Linked DNA regions of Rhinolophus ferrumequinum. The protein of the gene in region 2 purifies or fractionates together with the protein of the main gene of each other region. This does not show direct contact. Links are inferred from orthologs where the notes say so. Each region holds a gene or a part of one and is shown on either strand. Other genes may lie near its edges.

What was found. Proteins that work in one complex are often made in the same cells at the same time.
Region 1: the proteins of FBL (region 2) and TGS1 purify together in Homo sapiens (affinity purification with mass spectrometry; 3 studies listed by BioGRID and IntAct, counting the BioPlex papers as one, with this or other methods). This does not show direct contact. The link is inferred for Rhinolophus ferrumequinum from reciprocal best matches to the Homo sapiens genes FBL and TGS1.
Region 3: the proteins of FBL (region 2) and SIRT7 purify together in Homo sapiens (affinity purification with mass spectrometry; 3 studies listed by BioGRID, with this or other methods). This does not show direct contact. The link is inferred for Rhinolophus ferrumequinum from reciprocal best matches to the Homo sapiens genes FBL and SIRT7.

The regions. Positions count from the first base shown.
Region 1 is NC_046297.1:22,291,822-22,299,019, forward strand, and holds the start of TGS1 (trimethylguanosine synthase), read right to left. Parts: upstream 3,009-7,198; 5' UTR 2,841-3,008; coding exon 2,737-2,840; intron 1-2,736. UniProt on the Homo sapiens protein: Catalyzes the 2 serial methylation steps for the conversion of the 7-monomethylguanosine (m(7)G) caps of snRNAs and snoRNAs to a 2,2,7-trimethylguanosine (m(2,2,7)G) cap structure.
Region 2 is NC_046298.1:38,810,862-38,818,098, forward strand, and holds the start of FBL (rRNA 2'-O-methyltransferase fibrillarin), read right to left. Parts: upstream 3,004-7,237; 5' UTR 2,914-3,003; coding exon 2,904-2,913; intron 1-2,903.
Region 3 is NC_046304.1:54,692,963-54,700,347, reverse strand, and holds the start of SIRT7 (NAD-dependent protein deacetylase sirtuin-7), read left to right. Parts: upstream 1-4,377; 5' UTR 4,378-4,444; coding exon 4,445-4,537; intron 4,538-4,607; coding exon 4,608-4,745; intron 4,746-4,828; coding exon 4,829-4,933; intron 4,934-6,707; coding exon 6,708-6,778; intron 6,779-6,872; coding exon 6,873-6,945; intron 6,946-7,385. Other genes in the region: transcription factor MafG, read left to right, coding at 1-60. UniProt on the Homo sapiens protein: NAD-dependent protein-lysine deacylase that can act both as a deacetylase or deacylase (desuccinylase, depropionylase, deglutarylase and dedecanoylase), depending on the context. Specifically mediates deacetylation of histone H3 at 'Lys-18' (H3K18Ac).

The DNA.
Region 1 (7,198 bases), on a different chromosome or scaffold from region 2:
TTGGAAATTTCTTAAGTACAAATAGCAATTTCTCTACTGCAAAAGGGCTGTGGATTAGTTTCAAGTATAATAGTAATAAAAGGAAGTCCTTTCTGAAAGTGCCGAAATGAGATCACAGAAATGTTATGTGACTTGTCCAAGGCCACACAGCTGATTATTGGTAGAGCTGGGATGTGAAGCCCAGATAGATATTCTGCTCCTAAGGACAATATTCTTTTAAATTCTGGCTCAGGAACTTGTGGGAAAGGACATATCCAATGATTTTGTTGAGTTTATGATTCTTCTGTATATGAAAAACCAGACATCACCACTAGACACTGTCACATAGGTATGACCAGAGATAAATTCAGGCTCTTCAGTTTCCGCAGCAGTTCTCTATCTCAACTAAAATACATTATGTTAAAGTATTTTAACGAGTCACCAGTGTCAGTGACTTTAGACCACTTAAATACCTTAATCAGAAAGATTCACTTATGTTCTAGACAAATTAAAAGACCTCCAGGGCTGCCACTTACCTGACTGGGATTTTTTTTTAAAAAGGCCATTATTGAGACTACGTTTTCTACTAGAACAAAATAAAGATTACAAGACATATCTCAGGGTGTTGCTGGGATGCTTACATGGGGAAAAAAACAGAATGAAGTGTAAAACAATTAGTGCCTGGCACTCAGCAAGTAGCTTTTATTAAAAAAACCTGCCAATTATAAGTGGATATTTTTTAGTTTTCAATTTGCTTGATATTGCATCAGCTTTCCAATGTACTCCTTTCTTCAAACATTTGGTGACAGTATACTTGAGCTTGTCTTCTACCTTTTCCTCCCCTTTTAATCTTCACAAAATGTTGGAATTCCTCAAAGATGGATCCCACTTCTTCCCAACCCCCGCCCCAAGTGCTAAATCAATGGCTTCAATGACTATACTAGAATGGCTCAAGGTTTTAAGACTTCTCTAGAGCTCCAAACCAATATATTTAAGTACCTATGACATTTAATCTTGGATATCTGATAGCTACTCCAAAATCAAAACACAGTAAGTTGATTATCTTTTTATTATCTTCTGCTATACCCCCCAAAACCCATGACTCACTAGTGACCCCTATCTCAGTGAAACACATCAATATAAGCTGGAAACCAGGGAGTTACCCTTGACCTACTCTCCTCTTTCCCATCTTTTACCTTTCCTTCATTCCCCTACATCCAATCCAATCCCCTAAACTCAACAATTTCTCTCCTATATTTCCTCCTTTCTCCATTTCCACTGCCACCAATCCTTATCCACGCCACGATAATCTGTTGCCTGGAAAATGGTTTTTTTAAGTGGTTCTCCTTCTCTAAACCATCCCCCACCCTGCTGCTAGAGTAATCTTTAAAAACGTAATGATCATTTAAAAATGATCCCGTCCTCCAAAAAACTCTGCATATTTTGATCCTGCCTACTTCATTAACCCTATTTTCTATCTACTTCATGAACCCTATCTTCTGTCTTTCTTTCCCAGTCATTTTGTTTTATTTTCACAGGCTTTCTTTTGCTTTCTCAAGGCTTTCAGAGAGTTCTGATTGGGGAATGCTTCCTCCATTAAATAAACATATCCCAGTTTATTTCCATTCACACTTTAGACCTCTTTTCAAATGCTACTGTACTTCCTTAAAGAAATCATTGTCATCTGTGGAGAAAGGTTAGGTTTCTGCCACCACAGCATCCTGTACTTCTCTTCCATAGCACTTATAACTATAATTAATCAGATAATTATGTAACAGTTGTCTTAATATTGATCTCCTTCTCTAGAAAGTAAATTCAAAGGGTGTAGGGACTGGCTGTGTCTTGTACCCCCGTGCCTACTCGTACATAATACAAAGAAGCACAACTAAGATTTGTTGACTGAATGAATACATGCATACGTGAATACAAAAATGTCAATACTTTCACATAAATATAACATAGTGTTTAATTTCTATCGGATTTTCAGATTACCCCACAAAAACAAATGATGAAGCACTGTTTCAAACTTAAATTCTACTACATTAAGCTACATTAAAATTCACTTCTACAAGTTGAATCTAACAATAAGCCTGTGAGATGATTATGGTAAATACACCTGTTTTAGAGATGAGCAAAAATTAAGTGGCTGAACTCACACATCGAATATAAAGAAAACAATCCCTAGAATATAATTCTTTAGGCAGTTTTCCTACTCACTAGTTATCTTCCATGCATGAAAATTTTAACCCAAAACATATATTTTCCAAAGATAAAGACTGCTCAAAAACGGATGTGATTAGTTAAATCTTTTACCTTAGGTAATTACAAGTTCTATGTGTGTGCTTTTGCGCTTTAATAAATCTTAAGGTTTTAAAAATGACGATAACCAACACAAGTTACTCATCTTTCAAACCATCACCTTGTGATGTCACATCCATTAACGAGATTTCATTTTACATTTCACTTTCCCCCAATTTTAAAATGCCCCTGTATTTACAATGAAAATAAAATTACATATATAAGCCACCACATTTTTTTCCTAACAGCCTACAAAGTAGATTTACTCCTTCACTTAACTGCAGTAGGGGACCACTCCGTAAAGTCTGAGGACTTTTACCCCTTTTTCTTAAACATCACCTTGCCTAAGGGTCAAATACTCTGTCCGTGGTTCCAGGGAGCAGTTACAAATAGTCTGCAACACCTACATTTCTGGGAAATGATCGTGCTAGAAAGGAAGAGGAAGACGTTTTTACTTACTCCACAAACGCCCTGGAGCAGAGGCAAAGGATTTTATAATCCTCCTCTAGGTCTTCAATGAAGAGAATCATTTCAGCCACGCGGCTCCACTTCTCGCAGCACATTTTACCACCTCAGAGGAGGCAGCCCTGCGGTAAACGGCACGGGACCGGCCACTCGGCCTCTGCTGGGTTATTGGAGACCGAAAGCAGGCCTCGCCGGCGCGCCCCGTGGTGTAGGGTGAGGAACGGAGATGAGGTCGTTCCCGCCTGAAGCGAGCTGGAGTAACTAGAGCAAGCTACGGAGCCTTCACCGGAAGTGGCTCGGGGAGGGGCACAGGAAGAGGCGGGGCGACGGGCGGTGTAACGCTCAACGCTGCTCGGGCTGCAGCCGCTTTTTGGCTTTTTCTTCACCGAAGGTTGCTCGCGAAAGTAGGCCGCTCACATTTCTCCGCTTCCCTCGGCTGCTGAGCCATCGAAGAGCTGCCGCCGCTGCTCCAGAGTGAGGGCGAGCCCCCTCTGCCTTCTCCCGCCCGAGGTGCGTCGGTCCCTGCTTTGATCTCCACGCGCTCCTCCCTCCCGGGGGCGCGTCAGTCGCGCGGGGCTGTCTGTGAGCCGCGGAGGCCGCGCGGCTAGTCTCCCCCGGGCTGCCCTGGAGTACCCGGCTGGAACCGGCAGGGACCGGCGGGCTGGGTTTCCCGCCGGCCTCGGCGTTTGGCTCCGGCACTCGAGTGCTGGGGAGGGGAGGCCCTGCCTGGGTTACAGCGATCCGGTTCACCTCGCTCCGCATCTCCTCTCGCCGCTCAAAAACACTCAGTTCGGAGTGTTTCACTTCTTAGTGTTGGAGCGAGGAGTCTTCATCCTTACTAGAGGCCTCTGGGCTTGCCCAGTGTGACCCCCCTGATCCCGGGCTTAGAATCGACCCTACTGTGTATGAAAGATAAAAGGATATCCTGTGGTGGTCACGAGTGTAGTTGAGAGGCCGCGTTGGTGGTGGTTAAGTGTGCTCGCATTCAGACAAATCAGACATGGAATCCTGGTTTATGCCCCTTTTACTACCTTTGTGACCCGGGCTAGCGACAACCTTTCTGAGCATCATTGTGATCATCTGTAAAATAGGGATGATTAATAGTACCTGTTCCCCAGGGCTGCTGAAAGGACTAAATGAAATCGTAAATGAAAGGACTAAATCCTACCTCATATGTGCTATTAATAGTTTGCGTGGGTACATTCTTTGTAAGCTCCAGGCACTGTTGGTCCCCCCGGGTGTGCAGCCTGTAAAACAGGTCTCTGCCCTCAAGCGGCTGATTAATAAGAAAAATACATTTGCACATAACAAGGGTGTCGAAAACTGGAACACCACGGCTAGATTTGAAAAAAGCAGTGTTTGGTGTGGAGTGTTGGTTGAGACCACTCAGGCAGCTTCCTAAAAGAAACACGTTCAGATTCGAACGTCGGCGGAGCTCTTAGGACTCGGTTGGTGCTATTAATGCCGAAATGGCATTGGTATGTCTTTAGAATATTTAAAAACCAGGGTAAAAATCTAGATATTTAGAACAGTCGCTAATATTTTGACTGCATTTACTAGCGAGTGGAATGAGAAGATTAATTTTCAAATACGTTTATTCCAACATTCTTACTGCTGCCTTTTATGTCAGATAAGCTCATTTTAGTGACTCAGGAAGTTAAGAGTGCTGCACAGTTACATATACCTCAGTGTAGATGTGCAACATTTTTGGGATGAGGATAGGTTAAGAAAATAATAGTAGAATGGTAATTAACAGAGTGGAAGCTTTTAGCTGGAAGTTGAAGCACATTCTAGGGTTAAAAAAAATAACCGTGAGAGGTGATTTATATCAGAACCTATAGTTTAAAGCTTGAAATCTAAAAGGTATTGTTTTAAAGATAAAGTGATTGGGTTTGCTAGATATCTTTTAACTGATAAACTTCAGCTTTATTGATTGTTTGAAATCGAATGCTTATCACTAAAACTGAGTACTAAAACCCCTGTTAAGCCATTATTAAATATAAAAAAAGTAAAAGGGGACATTAATTTATATTTCAGCAAGTGTTACTTTTAATTGACATTGTCAGCATATTATCAATGTGGCTCATGTACTAAAAGTAAGAAATGGATCTGCTACCATCATGGTGGTAAAAGTACGGTATAGTGTTTAAAAGTAGATTTACTTCCTTAAGGTTTTGTAGAAAACAAACAAAAAATCCTGTGTTCTGATTTATTAGTTTTTGAAATATTCTGATTTTAAACGTCTGTAAAGTCAGTTATAGTAAATGTTCCTCACCATCAGTATCAATGTGGTGATATTTCAACTTGTGAACTTTTTCTTACACATTATATTAGTTGCAGATGGGAAAATTAAGCTACTTTCTATGTGATGCATAGGTTTGTGTTTTATTGTAGATTTTTTTTGATAGGAAATAATGTGGAATTTTTGGTAACTAAAATGTTATATCTCCCCCAAAACACCTTTTAACAACCATAGTTTTTATTGGATTAAAATAAAGTGGTAGAGTCAAGAACAGAACAGCCTGTGGTAGATTGGAGGAGGAGAAGGGCCAGGCAGAAGTAGAGGGAACACAGAAATTGCAATCTTAATATTTTCAGCCTTTCTGTCAGAGAGAGGGAGAGATTAAAGAAAATGTAATGAAAACCAGAATAGGAAGTAGGAGAACTAGGTTTTAATTTTGGCTCTTGGTTTTTCAGTGAATTAGTTTGGTAACTTTGGGCAAGTCAACTTGGCTTACTGTTTGTTTGTTTTTTTGGCTTTCTGTTTTCAACTTTTGTTTTCTAAAAAATTAAGAGGTTGCGTTCATTGAGTTCTAACACATTTTCTCACATTATCAAAAGTATTTTAGCAACTCAAAAGCTTGTTATTCAAACTCCTTTGTTAATTCTCTAGTAGCAAGTTTTAGGGCACTTCTTGGTCCACATTTTTGTCAAAGACTTGGATAAACACAAGTTTAGATCTATCTGTATTTGGCTGGTGTTTGTGCCTACTATGTACCAGGCATATTATTCTCAGTGCTTTACCTATGTTTTCTCATATAATCATCTATTTGTTTACTGATGCATCTCTTTTTCTATCCCTTTTTGCAACAATATTCCTTTGAAGAGTTGTCCATATTTGTGGTTTCCAATTCATTTACTCCCATTTTTTCTTGAACTTATTCCACCTGATTTTCATCTCCACTGTTTCAAAACAGTTCTTATTAGGGCTTCCCAATGCCTCTTTGTTGTAAAATCCAATGATCATTTGTCATTCTTTATCTTACTGGATCTCTGAGCATCATTCGAAACAGCTAAATACTCCTTTCTTCTTGAACCACCTTATTATTATATCCAGGATGCCGCTCCTGGAAGAAGGATGCTGGTTCCTCATTGTCTTCCCAACTTCTAAAATGTTGAGTTCCCCCAGGCTCAGTCCTCGAAGCTATTTTGTATTCACTCCCTGGAGCAAGGGTGTCTAAACTGCGGCCCACGGGCAAAGTGGGCCGCAATCCATTTTTTATTGGCCCACAGCAAATTCCAAAAATATATTTAGTTTACTTAAATAAACCAGGTGAGGCCATATGTACTTCACCTCGAGTGAGTGGCCTGGCTGTTTGTGTATTTTACCGAATATGGCCCTTGGTGAAAAACGTTGAAAAAAGTTTGGACACCCCTGCCCTAGAGGGACCTTATTTAGTTTTGTGGTTTTGGATATTGTCTATATATGTCGCCAGTTCCTACATATATTTCTCTCGCCCTGATCTTCCTGCTAAACTCTGCTGATGTCCAGCTGTATGTTTAACGTCTTCACTTGGATGTCCAATAGAAACTTAACATGTTCAAAACTGAATTCATGATCTTCATCCCATCCCCAAACCTATTCTTCCTGAAACTCCATCTTTTCACAAGCAAGCAGGTAATATGATGATGATGACGATGGTGATAGCAATACTTAGTGTATACATAGTGGGAGGCACACTTCTAAGCTTTTTTTATATAAAATAATCACAACAGTCTTATTAGGTAGGTACTGTTATTACCCCCATTTCATAGATGGAGAAACTGAGGCAGAGAGGTATTAAGTAACTTGTGTAGGTCAAACAGTAAGTGGCAGAGCCTCCCAGGATACAAACCCACGTTGCCAAAAAACTGTGTCGTCATCCCAGACTTCTCTCACTCACATTGTACATCCACTCATCAGCAGATCCTGTTGGTTTTATCTTTAAAATATATCCAAAAACTGATCATCTCTTATGACCTTCATTCTGCCACACTTGTATGAGCCATTTTCATCACTATCTCAATTATTGCAATAATTTCCTATTTGTTTCCTGTACAGTAAATTCTCAACACAGTAGTCATTTAAAATCCAATTCGGGCAGTCTCACTCTTCTGATGCCTTCTTCATCTCCCATAGATAAAAGCTGGCCCACAAATTCTACAATGCTGCCTCTCTCTGCCCATTTCTTACTGC
Region 2 (7,237 bases):
CTCCGCACTCAGGTCTCTGATTAAACAATCCCTCCTCATTAGGGCCTTCTCTGGCTACTTGACCTTTACCCTGCTTTCTTTTTCTTCCATCAATTACCACCCATGGCACTTTAAATATTATTACTGCTTGCCTCCCCCATTAGAATCAAGCTCCAAAGGGGCAGGGTCATTTGTTTCGGTCACCACTGCATCTCCAGCACACCACCACTGCATCTGGCACAAAGTATGGGCTCAAAAAATATTAAATACACTGTTAAACCTCTGGGTTCTGCTGCATGGAGAAAGCACCCACTCTGTTCATTCAGGATGTAGGGGATCAGGTGGTGACCAGAGCCCTGGGCCCTACCCTCAAGCAGTTCCCAAACAGGGAGATGGCCACACCATTTGCAACCCTAGAGAACAGGGAAGGTTCATGGGAGTCTTGTGACTTTCATCTGTAAGGTGGAGATAAGGAGGTAACACAGTGCTCACCTCAGAGTTGAAAAGATTAAATGACTTAATCCACACAAAGCACTCAATACACTGCCTGGTACACTCGAGGTAAAGTCCTCCCTCCCACTTAGGGGACAAACCACTAGACATAAGAGACTTTCAACCCCCAGGCCTGATAGAACAGAGACCTGAAAAGTGTGGGTACGGCATGGGGTACAGTGGGCACAAGTGTAAACTTTCAGTCCCAGATACTCAAAACATACCTAATCCATTTCATGTCCTGGCGCTCTAAGAAAAATGTACTAAGGTAACCATTTCAAAATATATACATAAATCAGCACACCGTACACCTTAAACTTACACAACTTTTTATCAATTATATCTTAATAAAGCAGGAAAAAATAGGTATATGTTAAAAAAAAGAAAGAAAAACGTACTAAAAATACCCACTCTTCAGAAAAACACATTCACACAGACTTCTACAAGCATGTGTGTGAGGGGATCCACAGACTGGTTTAAAACTGCTCTCCGATAGCCTTCCCCATCTCAAAAATAGCAACTCCATCCTTCTCGTCACACACATCAAAACCATTAGTTATCCTTGAACTCCTCTCTCACACCTACATACAAACTGTTGGCTCTATTTTCAAAATGTATTCCCAAATCGTGACAATTTGTTAGCCAGGTCCACTGCTACAACCCTGGTCCAAGCCACATTATCTCCTAGTAGATTACAGTAACAAATTTCCTACTGATGTCCCTGCTACCACTCTTGCTCCCTGAAGTCTTTTACACACAGAAGCAAGAGGATCCTTTTAAAAGTGTCAGTCAAGTCTGACTGACATCACATCCCTGCTCAGAAATCCAAAGGCTTCCTTTCTCCATCAGACTAAAATCCCACTAAAGAGCTGACTCCTGATAACGTCCTCAACTTCATATCCTACCGTAACACAGTGGGGGAAGGCTTGGGAGGAAGGTACCTTTTCTGTTTCTGGGAGAATCAGGCTACAGATGCCTGCAGGCCTGCCAAGGTCTCAGTTGGAGATACACAGCCTAGCACCTCCCACCCCACTTCATCATTAGATCCCCAAACACTTAAGAGAAAGGGAACTTGGGTACACAAATGACCCTCCCCACCAGATGACTCCATCTCTCTACATGCTGAGAGAAAAAAAAAAGGAAAAAAAGAAAACCTGTACTAGAAAACAGACCCTTTCTGTCACAGTGGAAGATTTCCCCTACTCCAGTGGAGCAAGGTGGGAAGAGGGGCAACCGCCTAATTTAGGAAGAACTGAGACACCAGGGAATAGGATCCTAATTTTGTTCCCGCAAGGAAGATAAAGATAGCAACTAGAGCCAATACTATTATGTTAAGCGCTGTGCTATTTTTTCCAGCTTTATTGAAATATAATTGACATACAACATTCTGTAAGTTTAAGGTGTAAAACCTGTTGATTTGATACACTTACATATTGCAAAATGATTACCAGGTGCTATTTTTTCTTAACATGATCTTACTAAATTGTAACTGGGCGCCATTTTATAGATGAGAAAACTGAGGCTCAGAGAGGTAAAGCTACTTGCCCAAGATCACACAGTAAGGAAGCAGAGCCAGGGTGGAAACTTTGAACTGAGGCCCTTCTGCTGTCAAAGCCAGGGCTCTCGTGACAGGGAGGTGGGGTGGGTTCATTAGAATCTCTAGGAAAATTGAATGAATAAAACCACTCTTCCCTGTGACTACCTCCCTCCCACACCGCACGCTGGTCCTATCCTGGGCTTCTGAAATCTCATCTCACCGTGGGAGTTGAGAATGACTAGGCCCGTGATCTCCACTCCATCCTCAGGGACCCGCCCCCTCGGGAGTGTAGAAAGCGCGAAAGTGGGCCAGAGAGGGCCACATACTATCAAGCTGGGTGGGAGTCCTCATTCACTCCGACCCTCTCCGAAAAGCTAGGCTGGGGGCCAAGGGGACGGCGGTAGCCGGCGGCAACAGGGAGGCAAATGGGGGTCTGAAAGCGACCCAACTCCCAGAATTTCCACCTTTGAACCAAGACAGATTCCCCCAAACCCACGCCCCAGATGCCTGGATCCAAACTCTGGGTCAGGACCTCCGAGTGCCGCCCACGGCCCAATTCACAAGACTCCTAACGACAGCCTCAATGAGACGAATCCCAGCTCAGAACTCCCCCAATCCGAGGCCCAAGACCCTCGACTCACCATCGTGATCTCCGAAGCCAATCACAAACCTCCAGACCAGGAACCCGAACCCCAGGCTCACGATCGCTCACAGGGCGGAACCAAGACACTCTTCTACACGAGACCGGAACCAGGACCCCCTCCCCACACAAAACCGGACCCGGCTCTCAGAACCCCGGCCCCAGGCCATGGCTCCGCCCCTCCGATCCCCATCTGACATCCCGGTTCCCGCCCGACCCCAGCCCCTGACCTCCGACCCCAACCCCGGCCTGCACCTGGCCTCATGGCGACCGCTGAAGTGCGTGGCTCAGGAGTCTGCGGCGTCCGGGATCCCACGAGTCTGGAGCTTTCGCACGTGGAAAGGAGCGCACGCGCGCGGGGACGTACGGCGTGTGACGCAACCACGCAGCCCTACCCCCGGAGCCCCAGTCCCGCCCAGAGCCCGGCGCGCGCGCTCTGGGCGGGGATTTCCCTGATCCGGGGACCGCCCCCTCAGCTCGCTCCCGGCGCTTCTTTTACCGGAGCGGCGGTCTCTACGCAAAACACGCTTCCTCCTTCCCCCTTCGCGTGTTCGAGCACCCCAGGAATCAGGACTCATCACCAAGCCTTCCACGGGCTGTGCCCGCTGCCTCTCTTCTCTAGTGCCAGTTAACTCCCTAAGGTCTCCTCTACCCCCAAAAGCTTTCCCTGACCCATTTCCACCCTCAGAACAGGAACCCACCCCGGACTGTGCCCCTGTCTGTACCAGACACTTCTCGGCACGGGAATACGGCAGTGAACAAGACATACAAATCCCCACACTCCCGGAGCTCATCTTCTAATGGGCAAACAGACACCAAATAAGTTAGTAAAACGTTGAGTGTTAGAAGGCAGTAAGTGCTTTAGAGGGGAAAAAAAAGGCAGGGAAGGGTATAGGGATTGTTGGGGGAGGGGTAAAATTTCTCATAAGGTGGTTAAGGGGTGCATCTGGTGACTTTTGAGCGAAGAGCTAACGGAGGTGAGAAGCGAGGCATGCACTTATCTGGGGGAAGAAAGTTCCAGGCAAAGAGGATTGCAGGTCGAAAGGCCCTGAGGCAGGAAAGGAACGGAGGGCTGGAGAAACAGTGAGGAGTGGTTGGGGCAGAGTGAGCAGGAGAGAGTGGGAGGAGATGAAGGCAGAGAGGTAACAAGAACATTGTGTGGGGCCTTGTGGGCCGTGGTGAGAACTTCGGCTTTTACTCGGACTGAGATGGAGCTGTGGAAGGGTCCTGAACAGAGAAGGCATGTGATCTGACATGGGGTCACTCTGGCTGCATGTAGAAAACAGCGTGGGAGTAGGGGTGGGAACAGGAAGACCATGGAGGGACCTACTGCAATGGATCGAGTAGGAGACAAGGATGGACAAGGTCAGGGTGTGGGCAGAGAGAAATGGGTAAGGAGTAAGCAATTCCGCGTAAGTGTTGAGAATTTTGTGCCTTGTCGCTTTATAATATTAATACTCATCCCTATATTCATTCCACAAAGCAAAACAAGTGCTATTATGAGACGTTGCAAACAACCTCCAAGAGAACCCACTGGTCTGTTCAGTTCATTGTTGTATCCCTCCATACCTAGAACAGGACCTGGCACAGAGTGGGTGCTCAACAAATGTTTGTTGAAGGAGTGAATGAGACTGTTTTGAGTTCTCGGGGCAGGGTGATCCAGGGCACAGAAACGTTCCTGAAAATTTGTTTAACTATTAAGATGGAAAATCTGCTGAGCCTATTCTGGATTTCCAGGAGCTGTGCAATAATTCAAACAGCTCCAGTTCAGGATAATGTTACCTACTTCTTATGGATTTTACTGTTTGTCTCCCAATTAAAAAAAATTTTTTCCCATAAAGGGCAAAAATACTCAAGAGTTAGTGCAAATTTAAGATCGCTAGCCCTGTTTTCGGGAATCTTGGCATCATCTCCTGGCTCTGAGTTATTTCCTGTCAGCTTGCTCCTCAGACCTGAAATTGGCACTCTCAGCGAATAATTAGTGGGTGCCTTCTGGTCTTGTGCTGGGGACACAATAGTGGCTGAAACAGTGCCGGGGCCTGCCCTCCTGGAGCTGCTAGTCCAGTAGGGAAGAGAGACCAGTTCCCAGACAGTGTCAGCCTAGAGCAGTCAGGGCCAGAATAGGGAAGGTAGAGGCAGAATGGTTAAGGCTGGGATGGGAGAGGCACTGAGGGCTTTTCCCAACATCTCCCTATATCCTCACCTCCCTCTGAACCTTCTTTTTACCTTCCTAGCGCTCCGGAAGACATGCCTTTCCATGCAGCCCCTCCAAGTGGGGGCTGTTTCCACCTCCTCAGCCCTCATGCCCACTGGGCCTGTATATTGGGTAAGATCCTCTTTGCTCCTCATTTTCACTTCTAAACCATTCTCTCTGCCTCCTCCCTAATCCCCTAAGTTTGAAGTTTCTACCGTAGCACCTACTCCCATTCTTGCTGCCAGCTCTGTCAACCCCCAAGTCACTGCCGCTCACGTGATCATTTTAGCTCCAGGCTCACTGCCAATCAAGCTGCTCCTATTAAAATTCATGGTGAGTTCCAAATTCAGGTAGGTGACTGTGATGGCCTCTCGATGTCTTGACCTCCGCTCCTTTAGCGATCTTTCCTCCACCCAACACTTCCTTCCCACAGTCACACCTAGACCTTGTTCGGGACACAGTGGTGACTGTGGCAGCCCAGAGGTCCCAGCTGAGTGGGGAAGAAAGACCTGTCCCCAGACAGTGACAGCCCCGTAACAGCCGCCCTTACAGAACCTCAGTTCCATGCATCTCACTGCGTGCCCGTCACCTCCTGTCTCTCCAGCTTACTCCCTCGAAAGCTATTACTGCAACAATCTGTCAGCCCTGACAGTTCACTAAGCTGACCGCCTTTTCCCTGTCCCCTCACTACTATTCCCACCGCCCAGCCTGACTCCCCATCCACGTTATCACCACTCCTTTTCTCACACCCTCATACTGTGTACTTTTTCACCCCATTGAATCGACTTTCCACCTCCTCTGTACCTGCACCCTGGCAGCTAAGTGTGGATGGAGAAAAACACACCTCCACCCTGGCTGATCGCACTTTGTGTTCATGACCACAAACCCAAGTGGGCCCCAATGCCTCTCCACCATCCTATCCCATGTCCCTAATCCTCCCATTTTACTTTTTTCCCTCTTCGTTGTATTGGTAATGTGTTATTTTTTATACACTTTATTAAGGCATAACTTATATATCAGACAATGCACCTATTTTTAAATGTACAGTTCGATGAATTTTAGTAAGTGTATACTAAATTGTGCAACCATCTTAACAATCCAGTGTCAGAACACGTCCGTCATCCCATTTTGTACAAATGGAATCCTACAAGCTGTAGTTTTCTGTGTCTGGTTTTCGTCACTCGGCATCAGGTTCCACGTGGTTGTGTTTATCAGTGGTTCCTTCCTTTTTATCGGTGAGGATTCCATACTATGAGCATACTGCATTTTGTTTATCCATTTGCCTGTTGATGGGCATTCAAGTTGTTTCCAGTTTGGGCTTATTATGAATAATGCTGCCGTGAACATTCACGTACAAATATTTGTGTGGACCTAAGCTTTCAATTTTCTTGAGAAGAGTCCTCGGAGTCAAATGGCCGAATCTCATGGTGAGAGTACGTTTAACTTTTAAAGAAACGGACACAGTTTTCCAAAGTGGTTGGACCTATTTTGTTGAAGGATTATTTTACACTTTCTCCTCTCTCGTCAAACCTCAAAAACTTCTCCTGCTTTCTTTTTTATTAAATTTATTGGGGCGATATTGATTAATAAAATTATATAGGTTTCAAGTATAGAATTCTATAATACGTCACCTATATATTGCATTGAGTGTTGAGCACCCAAAGTCAAATCTTCCGTCACCATATATTTGACCCCTTTGACCCTACTCCTAGCTGATGACCTTGCTTCCCATTTGAATGCGAAGGTGGAAGCAATCACAAGAGAACTTCAGTGTCCTGCTGTCTCCCTATCTACCAGCCAATTGAGCCTGTTACCTCATATGCTGTAAAAGAAAACTGTTTCTGGATTCGCACACTTAACTTCTGACACCAAATGCATGAGTTTTCCACACCAAGCAAGTCCCCAATTCTCTGCAGATTCCAGCTGCTGTCCTACAATTTAGTTCAATTCGGACACTAACTACCCAGCGTTTGCATCAGACCTCACAGGTTAAGGGCTCAGTCCCTCAAGACTGCGTCCACTTCAGACACCAATAGGAAGTGAAGGCCACCCATATTTCTGACCGACTGGCAGTAAATCAGTTTTCACAACCTGCTCCTCTGTTCAATAATTTGCTAGAACAGCTCACAAGACTCAGGAAAATGTTTTACTTACTATTACTGGTTTATTATAAAGGATATAACTCAGGAACAGCCAAATGGCAGAACTGCGTAGGGCATGATACGGAGGAAACAGCATGGCGCTTCCATGCTTTCTCTGCTTGTGCCATCCTCCGAGCGCTTCAATATGTTCACCAATACAGCAGCTCTCAGAACTCCGTTGTTTAAAATTTTTATAGAGGCTTCATTCCTTAGGCATGATTGATTAAGTCGTTAGCTATTAGCTGTTGGTGACT
Region 3 (7,385 bases), on a different chromosome or scaffold from region 2:
AAGGTGGCCGCCACCAGCGTCATCACAATAGTAAAGTCCAAGACGGACGCCCGGTCGTAGGGACATGCGCTTGCCCAGGCGGGTCTTCGAGGGGCCACTAGGCGCATGGCGAATTTGGCAGCCCTGTCCCCCCTTTCTCCTCTCCTTCCCTCTTCCTCTCCTACCTCCTCCCTTCCCTGCAAAGCACAACCTGCACCCCAGGGGCACCGGGCTGAGCCCCTTGATCTCGTCGTTGTCATCATGTGTTTTGTATGTTGGGATTGGTCAGTTCGGTGGTGACGTGGGGCCGCCCCAGCCCTTTGTACTAAGGCCATGTGGGCTTGGAGTCCAGAGTGGTCCTGTGCGAATGGGCAGAAAGATCGAGCAAACACTAGGGGCTCAAGGGTCCCTGAGCAGGGAGCGTGCTAGGCTGAGTGTCCCATAGGCTCTGGCGGCCGCCTGCACTGGCAGGGGCCTGGGTAGTTCACAGCTCAGCCAGAGGTATAGATGGGCTCTGCTCCGAGGAGGGTGTCCTTGGGGACCCTGGACAGGCAGGCCACCAGCCTAGGTGCTTGGGGGATGGGGCGTCGTGCGGCTATGGGCCCGGGCCTCGGCACTCTCGCCTGACGCATTGCACTGAACAAGACCAAACCACTGGTTGTGAGCGTACGTGAAGGGTGTGTCCAGTGTCCTGCGATGGGTCCCGTGTCACTGTTTACATGACCTATTTGTGTGGTTACATAGCCCTTTATTTAAAAGAGAGAAGTTCCTTTTACGAAGTTATTAAATTATATGTTTAAAAGCTAAAGAAAAAAAAAGAGCTGCAGAGTATTTATAAAACTGTCTTTTTAAAAAAAAAAAACAAAAAACAAGCAAGAACATTTGACCATATAAATGGAAAAGGGAAGAAAGTATAATAGAAACTGCTAGTTTAAAAAAAGAAAAAAAAATCCCTTTCTTGTAAACTTACAGACAAGTCTTTGTGGCTGTTGGAGTTTAGTTTTTATATACACAGAGTTATCAGATGTTATTTATAAAACTTAGTTTAAAAAAAAGACAAAAAAAAAAAGCCAAGCCGCGAGCGACCAGAAGGCACGTCCTGACGTCCTCTTTGCTCTCTCTTTTGCAATTGTACCGAAAGTGACTTACTCCTTTGCCCTTCCTGCTTCCGTCTCCTGTCTCCTGCCGGTGCAGTGGTGTCGTCTGTGCCTGGTGAGGTGTTGTGCAGCGTCACGTGCTGGTGCTTCTGGTGACCTTTGACCTGTGGGTGTCACTTCTTGTGTCTATTTTCCTGTGTTTGTTTTGGATTTGGTTGTGTTTTGCTTCTGCTGGCTTGCCAGGCTCAGGCTGGGGTGCCAGGCGGTACGTGCTGCAGCAGAGCTGGGGGGGTTGGTGCCCACCAGCCTGGCCTCTTCTGCCTCAGCGTCTGCCCCAGACCTCCAGGAGGTCAGATTCCGGGCTCTGCCACTCCTACCCCCACTCCCCTCTGACCCTTGGCTTCGCATGCGTGTCTCAGGCTTGGGCTGATCCATTGGCAGGGTAGGTGAAACTGGGGGCCATCCCGGGGGCTCCCCATGCTGCTACCATGCCCACCGCCTCTGGCCCTGGGTGGGGGATTTGCAGGGACCAAGGAGTCACTGTGGGTGCCCACGGGGCCACGGCCAAGCTGCCCCTGCCGTCTTCCTTCTGGTGTCCAGTCACCGTGCTTGGGCTCTGGCCACTGACCCCAGCTTTGTTCTTCTAGGCTTCACATGGGCCTCAGCAGGGGAACCCCAGGGGCCCACATAGGGGTTGCAAGACCTGCTGCCCAGTTGTCCCAGGACTGTTTCCATGCTGCGGGTGGTGCTTCCCAGGCAAAACCAGGTGGTTTCGGGGCCCACCTGGGGCGGTCCTTTCTGCCTGCCTGAGGGCCTGGGGGTCTCCACCAGTGCCAGACAAGGGCTAGTGTCCAGGGCCGGTCCTGCCCCTCCTCGCCCCTGAATGTGCTGGCAGCTCTCGGCTTTGGGCCTTCTTCCGCCTCCCTTTGGGTCTGTGTCTTCCAGGGATCCACTGCCCAGCTTATGGAGGTGCTTCTCTTGGACTGAGCCCACACTCACCCCCATCCCGGCCACTCGGCAGAGGCAGCCAGTCTCCCAGACTCGGGTGGGAAGCTCATAGGCACGTGACGGGCTGCCTGTGGCGTCTCCCCAGGAGGCTAGTGCCCCGTCTCCAGCCACATGGGCCTCATTTGGCCTCTCCTTGGGTTGGCTTCTCTGGGGGCCCTGACCCCCTGAAAAGCACAGAAGTGCATCAGTGCTGCCTGGTAGGGTTTAAATTAACCTTGTGGGCAGCAGGATTTTCATCCCAGAATTTGACCCAGTGTGCCCATGGGATGGGAGTAGGATGTGCTGTCAACTTCTGCCATCTCGATGGGCTTCTGTGGACCCTAAATGCTCAGAGACGTTCCTAGTTGTACTGGAGTCAGCCTGCAATGGAGATGTTGACTGTTGACTCCAGATCACAGAGTGGCTTCCTCCCCTTCCAGTCTGTCTGTTTCGCAGGCTCCAGACGAGAGTTGTCAATGGTTGTAGCAGCAGTGAGTTGGAATTGCATCATAACAGCCCCTAAAGGGAGGTCACGTTCTGCCCTGGTGGTGGGAGGAACAGACCCTCCATGTCCATCTACGGTCCCCACTTTTGTCCTGGCCGGGAGGTCGTTGTCCACTTCGGCACACCCCTGCCAGGCTGTAGACCTGGAGGGTTTGAGGGCAGGCATGTGTTAACACATATTGCAAGGCCTTGGTTTCTGGAAGTTTCTGGAGTTAGTGAGGCCGTGGTTTCTTTCAGGGTTTTTGGATTTGGAACAACTGCTCCTTGGGTCTGGGGGAGCATCCAGTTCCCATCAAGCCAGGCCTGCAGGGCCACTCCACCCCTTTCCCTCCCCTTGGTTTCTTGACAGTAGACTGTGTCCACATGTGACTGGTTGGTGTCTTTCTGATTCTTGTTAATTTGGTTTTCCTACTGTGAGGGTGTTGTGTCCCCTCTCTCCCCTCCACTTTTCTGACACAGCAAATCGAGGGCTTCGGCCAAAGCCAGGTCTCCCAAACTTGTCCGCTCAGTAAACCACAACGTGCACCTTTGCTCCCACCGTGCCCTCGCCCAACTCCTCCCTGTCCCAACATGGACATTTAGATTTCAGAGAAGCCTGTGGGAAGAGGTCAGCTCCTTCCCAGAGTACGGCCCCAGGGAAAACTCCCCACAGCCCTTGGCTGCTGCTCCGGTGGCACTACCCTTTGTACAGGTGAGAACATGCGGCTGCTGTATGGCAGCTGGCAAGTGTGCTGGTTTCTGACGGGCTTTCCTCCTGTTGGTCCAGGCTTCCGGTCTGTGTGCACAACCCGGACCGTCAGCAACAGCCTCAGTGGTCAGTGCCCGGCCCACAGCTCTGATCTATAGCCTGCTTTGGGACGGGTGGTCAGGCCCCATCCGGTCCCCGCTGCCTCCATCTCTGGAGTGGCCACTTGGCCAAAGCTCCTGTCCACAGCTGGAAAGCCGGAGCCACAGGCTGCAGTGCTGTTTCCGCTCTGGGATCTTGTAAGTTACTTTTTTAGGCTGTGGTTTGGTGAAAGGAACCAACACATTAACGATTTTTTTCCCCAGAAGCCACTGAATAATTCTTTTTGGCGCGTTTTTGCCTTCCTGTTGGCTGTCTGGTTTTGGAGCAGATGGGGACAGAGAGCGGAGGACACACAGAGGCAGGGGTGTGCCCTCGAGACTGATGGCCTGTCCTGGGCGTGTGCTGTACCTGTTGGGCCAGTCGCATACATTTCCACCCCAGCCTTGGTATGTGGGTGTCCCCAGTGAACTATGAGGAGCGACCCTTCCAGCAACCTCGTGTCCCAGCACCTCCCTTCTTCCCATCCCCTCAATCTGCTAGTCCCGGAAGCCTTTAACCAAACGGGAGTGGGTACAGAAAGCCTTCTCCTGGCATCTTAGGGCAACAGGACAAGGGCTGCCAGTGTGTCCAGCTCTGCTGCTCTCCTGGCGCTGAGAGGGTGGGTCCAGGCAGAGTTGATCAGACCCTGCCTGTCCTGCCTAGGGCTGAAGTCAGGGGGAGGTGGGGGTATCCTGGGATCTGCCCGGGCGGCGGGGATCGTCGAAGCTCCAGGTGGGGAGGGGCCTCGTGAGGGCGGCCCGCTTAGGCGCCCACCCTGCCCTGTGCAGTATTTATTGCTAAATTATTGTCCAGGAGGGGCGGCACTGGGCCGGGCCCCGGGTATTTATTGCTGTACATAGTGTATGTTTGTGATATATAAGGTTTTCTTTATTTTGTATATGATCAATAAACACCTTTTAAAGAGACTTGGCAGGTGCTTAAATTGGGGCGGTGCGGGCGGGGCCGGAAGGGCGGGGCAGGGCCTAGCGCGCATGTGCCGGCGCGCGGCCTGCCGGGAGGCGGAAGCGGAAGCGTGGATCTCCTCGGGGCGATGGCAGCCGGGGGTCTGAGCCGCTCGGAGCGCAAGGCGGCCGAGCGGGTCCGGAGGCTGCGGGAGGAGCAGCAGCGGGAGCGCCTCCGCCAGGTATGTCACCTCTTGCCCCGCCCCGCATCCCCGCCTCGCGTCGCCCTCACCACCTGCCCCGCGCCCGCAGGTGTCGCGCATCCTGAGGAAGGCGGCGGCCGAGCGCAGCGCAGAGGAGGGCCGGCTCCTGGCCGAGAGCGCGGACCTGGTGACCGAGTTGCAGGGCCGGAGCAGGCGGCGCGAGGGCCTGAAGCGGCGGCAGGAGGAGGCGAGTCCCGCGCGGCGCCCGGGTCTGCGGGCCTCTCGCCGGGTCGGGGGCGGGGCTTACGAGCGGTCTGGGTGTCTCGGCAGGTGTGCGACGACCCGGAGGAGCTGCGGCGGAAAGTCCGGGAGCTGGCCGGAGCCGTGCGGAACGCCAAATACCTGGTCGTCTACACTGGCGCGGGCATCAGCACGGTAGGGAGGCGAGGCGTGACCATGGCCGTGCGCCCGGGTCGACTCCCAGGTCCGGACGAATGTCGGACCACCGGGCGGGGGGCTGGAGGGGACGCGCCCGGGGCGCCCCCTTCTGGGCGTGTGACCCAAGGACTGAGGAAAACTACTGGTTCGCAAAAAAACTCACTTTAAAAGCAGCCCTGAGGTTCTTTCCTCTCTTAGAAAAGCCGGAGATGACTCAATTTGGAACGTCACTGAGTAGAGAAACGTTTTTACAGGATTGAAGTCCGAGTTAGACCCAGTTAGCGACGAGAAAGGAAAAGGAATAGAAAGGGGACGTAATAACTTAGTTCTTGCAGGCACCTCTTCGTTTAAGCCAAGGAGGTTAATTTACTGTCCCAAAGTTATGTGGGCAGAGGTAAGCCCCAAACTGTGTCCTGATTCCCCGTTCATTGTTTTTCTGAGTGTTGAAGGAAGGTAAAGCAGAAAGCAAGGCCGTAAAAATTAAAGTACACCCGGCAAAGAAGGGAGGTGTGTTGGGTTTTGAAAACTTCCATGGAGATGTTCTCCTGGGCCATGGAATGGGTATGAGCTGCTTTGACAACGTGGGTGGCACGTTATCTGTCTGTCTGATGGGGTGGATTGAGTGTGAGCCGCGTGCAGGCCCAGCAGAGGTGAACACAGGATTTCCATCCTGGAGAAGCCCACAGGTGACATGAAAAGGCATATAAGCATGTAGCTGTCACGTGAAGCTGGCTGTGTTAGGTCAACAATTGAAATCCACACACACCCCGTGGTCTCAGCTGGGAAATTATCCCAGCTGGGTTTTTGTAGGAGGTGACACTGCGTCTGGGCCTCGAAGTGTGGGTAAGATTTTACGGGTGGTGACATGAGGCAGGGATGAGTGCAGGGCAGTGGCTAGAATGTGTCGGGTGGGCTGACGGTTGTGACTTACGGACCCTCCGGAGCCCTGGCAATCTGGTCTCCTCCCTCCACATTCACGGGTGAACTCCCGTCGTGTGATTATTTAAAAGCAATAATAATACCTCTGAAAGAGCTTCAGGTGCCTACTTAAAGGTGTGTGCTGCTCATTAATTTGGGGTGAGTGTTGCTGTTTGAGTTTCCCCTGTGTGATGTGAGTCGGAACCACGGGTCAGGGTGGGCACTTTTTGGAGCGTAAGCAGCAGGGAGGAGACAGGGCTCCACAGAAGGAGCACAGAACACCTGGATCCTGGCACACTCTCTCTCTTTGTCTTGCGTGGCTTTGTTCCACTGGATTGGGAACTTGGGCAATTCAGTGGTGTTTATCTCTCACCTGGAGAGGTTGGCCTGTCTTTGTGAAGGTAGGGCAGGAAGCACAGCATCAAGGTGGAAGAATTTGGACAGAGGAGGGATCCCACCTAGGGGATCACCTCTGCATCTTTCTGGTGTACTGGCTAGGCCCAGGGGACACACAGGTGAGGCTGACCAGTCCCACCCTCAGTGTGGAGGACAGGTGTGGCTGCAGAGCCAGGCTGTACTGAGGATGGCTCCCAGAGGAAGCGTAGCTGGAAGGATGAGCTGGACCAGGTGAGAGCGGGAGTCCAGGCAGAGGGAAAGAGCCACATGGGCTACTCTCCATCTGGGTTCAGGCATGTTAGACTAGGAAATGCTGAGCCTGTGGAATGAATAGAGGCCGGTCTGCAGGTCAGCCTGCAACACGCTGGGAGAAACATATGCTTTCTGTCCTTGGGAATTCTGTCAGTGGCTTCTGTGATGCCTTTTTACCAGGCTTATCTTCTTTCTGAACATGCAGGCAGCCTCTATCCCAGATTACCGGGGTCCTAATGGAGTGTGGACGCTGCTTCAGAAAGGGAGAAGTGTTAGGTAAGCAGTCTGCCCAGCCTTGCCACCGAGGGAGCAGGGCAGCAGGAGCCTGACCACGAAGCTCCCTTCACCTGTACCCCCTTTCACCTGGCAGTGCTGCCGACCTGAGTGAGGCCGAGCCGACCCTCACCCACATGAGCATCGCCCGCTTACATGAGCAGAAGCTGGTAAGAGCCCTGTGTGGCCAGCTGCTGTGCTTGCCGTGTCCACAGCGTGGGACCTGGAGCACCATTTTGGTGCTATAGTGACAACTGCATCCTACTTCTATGGCCAGTGGACCCCCGTAATGCGTGCCCACCAAGCAGTTTAGAGTCCTGGTTTGGGCCTCCCTCTGATCCTCCATGCTTTCTCTTCAAGAGGGCAGCTTCCCCTCTGAGTCATCCCAGCTAGAACTCATAGGAAGTCTCTGGAGACCTTCTGCTGAGCATCTCCAACCAAGTGGGGAAGGGTCGATCCTCCTGGGTCTTCAGGGACCTGAAACTGACCCAAGAGGGCATCAGCCTGGGCTTGAGCCCCGTGCAGCCGAGGCTCACCCTGCTGACACTCCCAGTGTGTCAGCCTTTGTTGGGGCCGGCCGTGCTGAGCCCTGCTCGGACCAGCCTGCTGC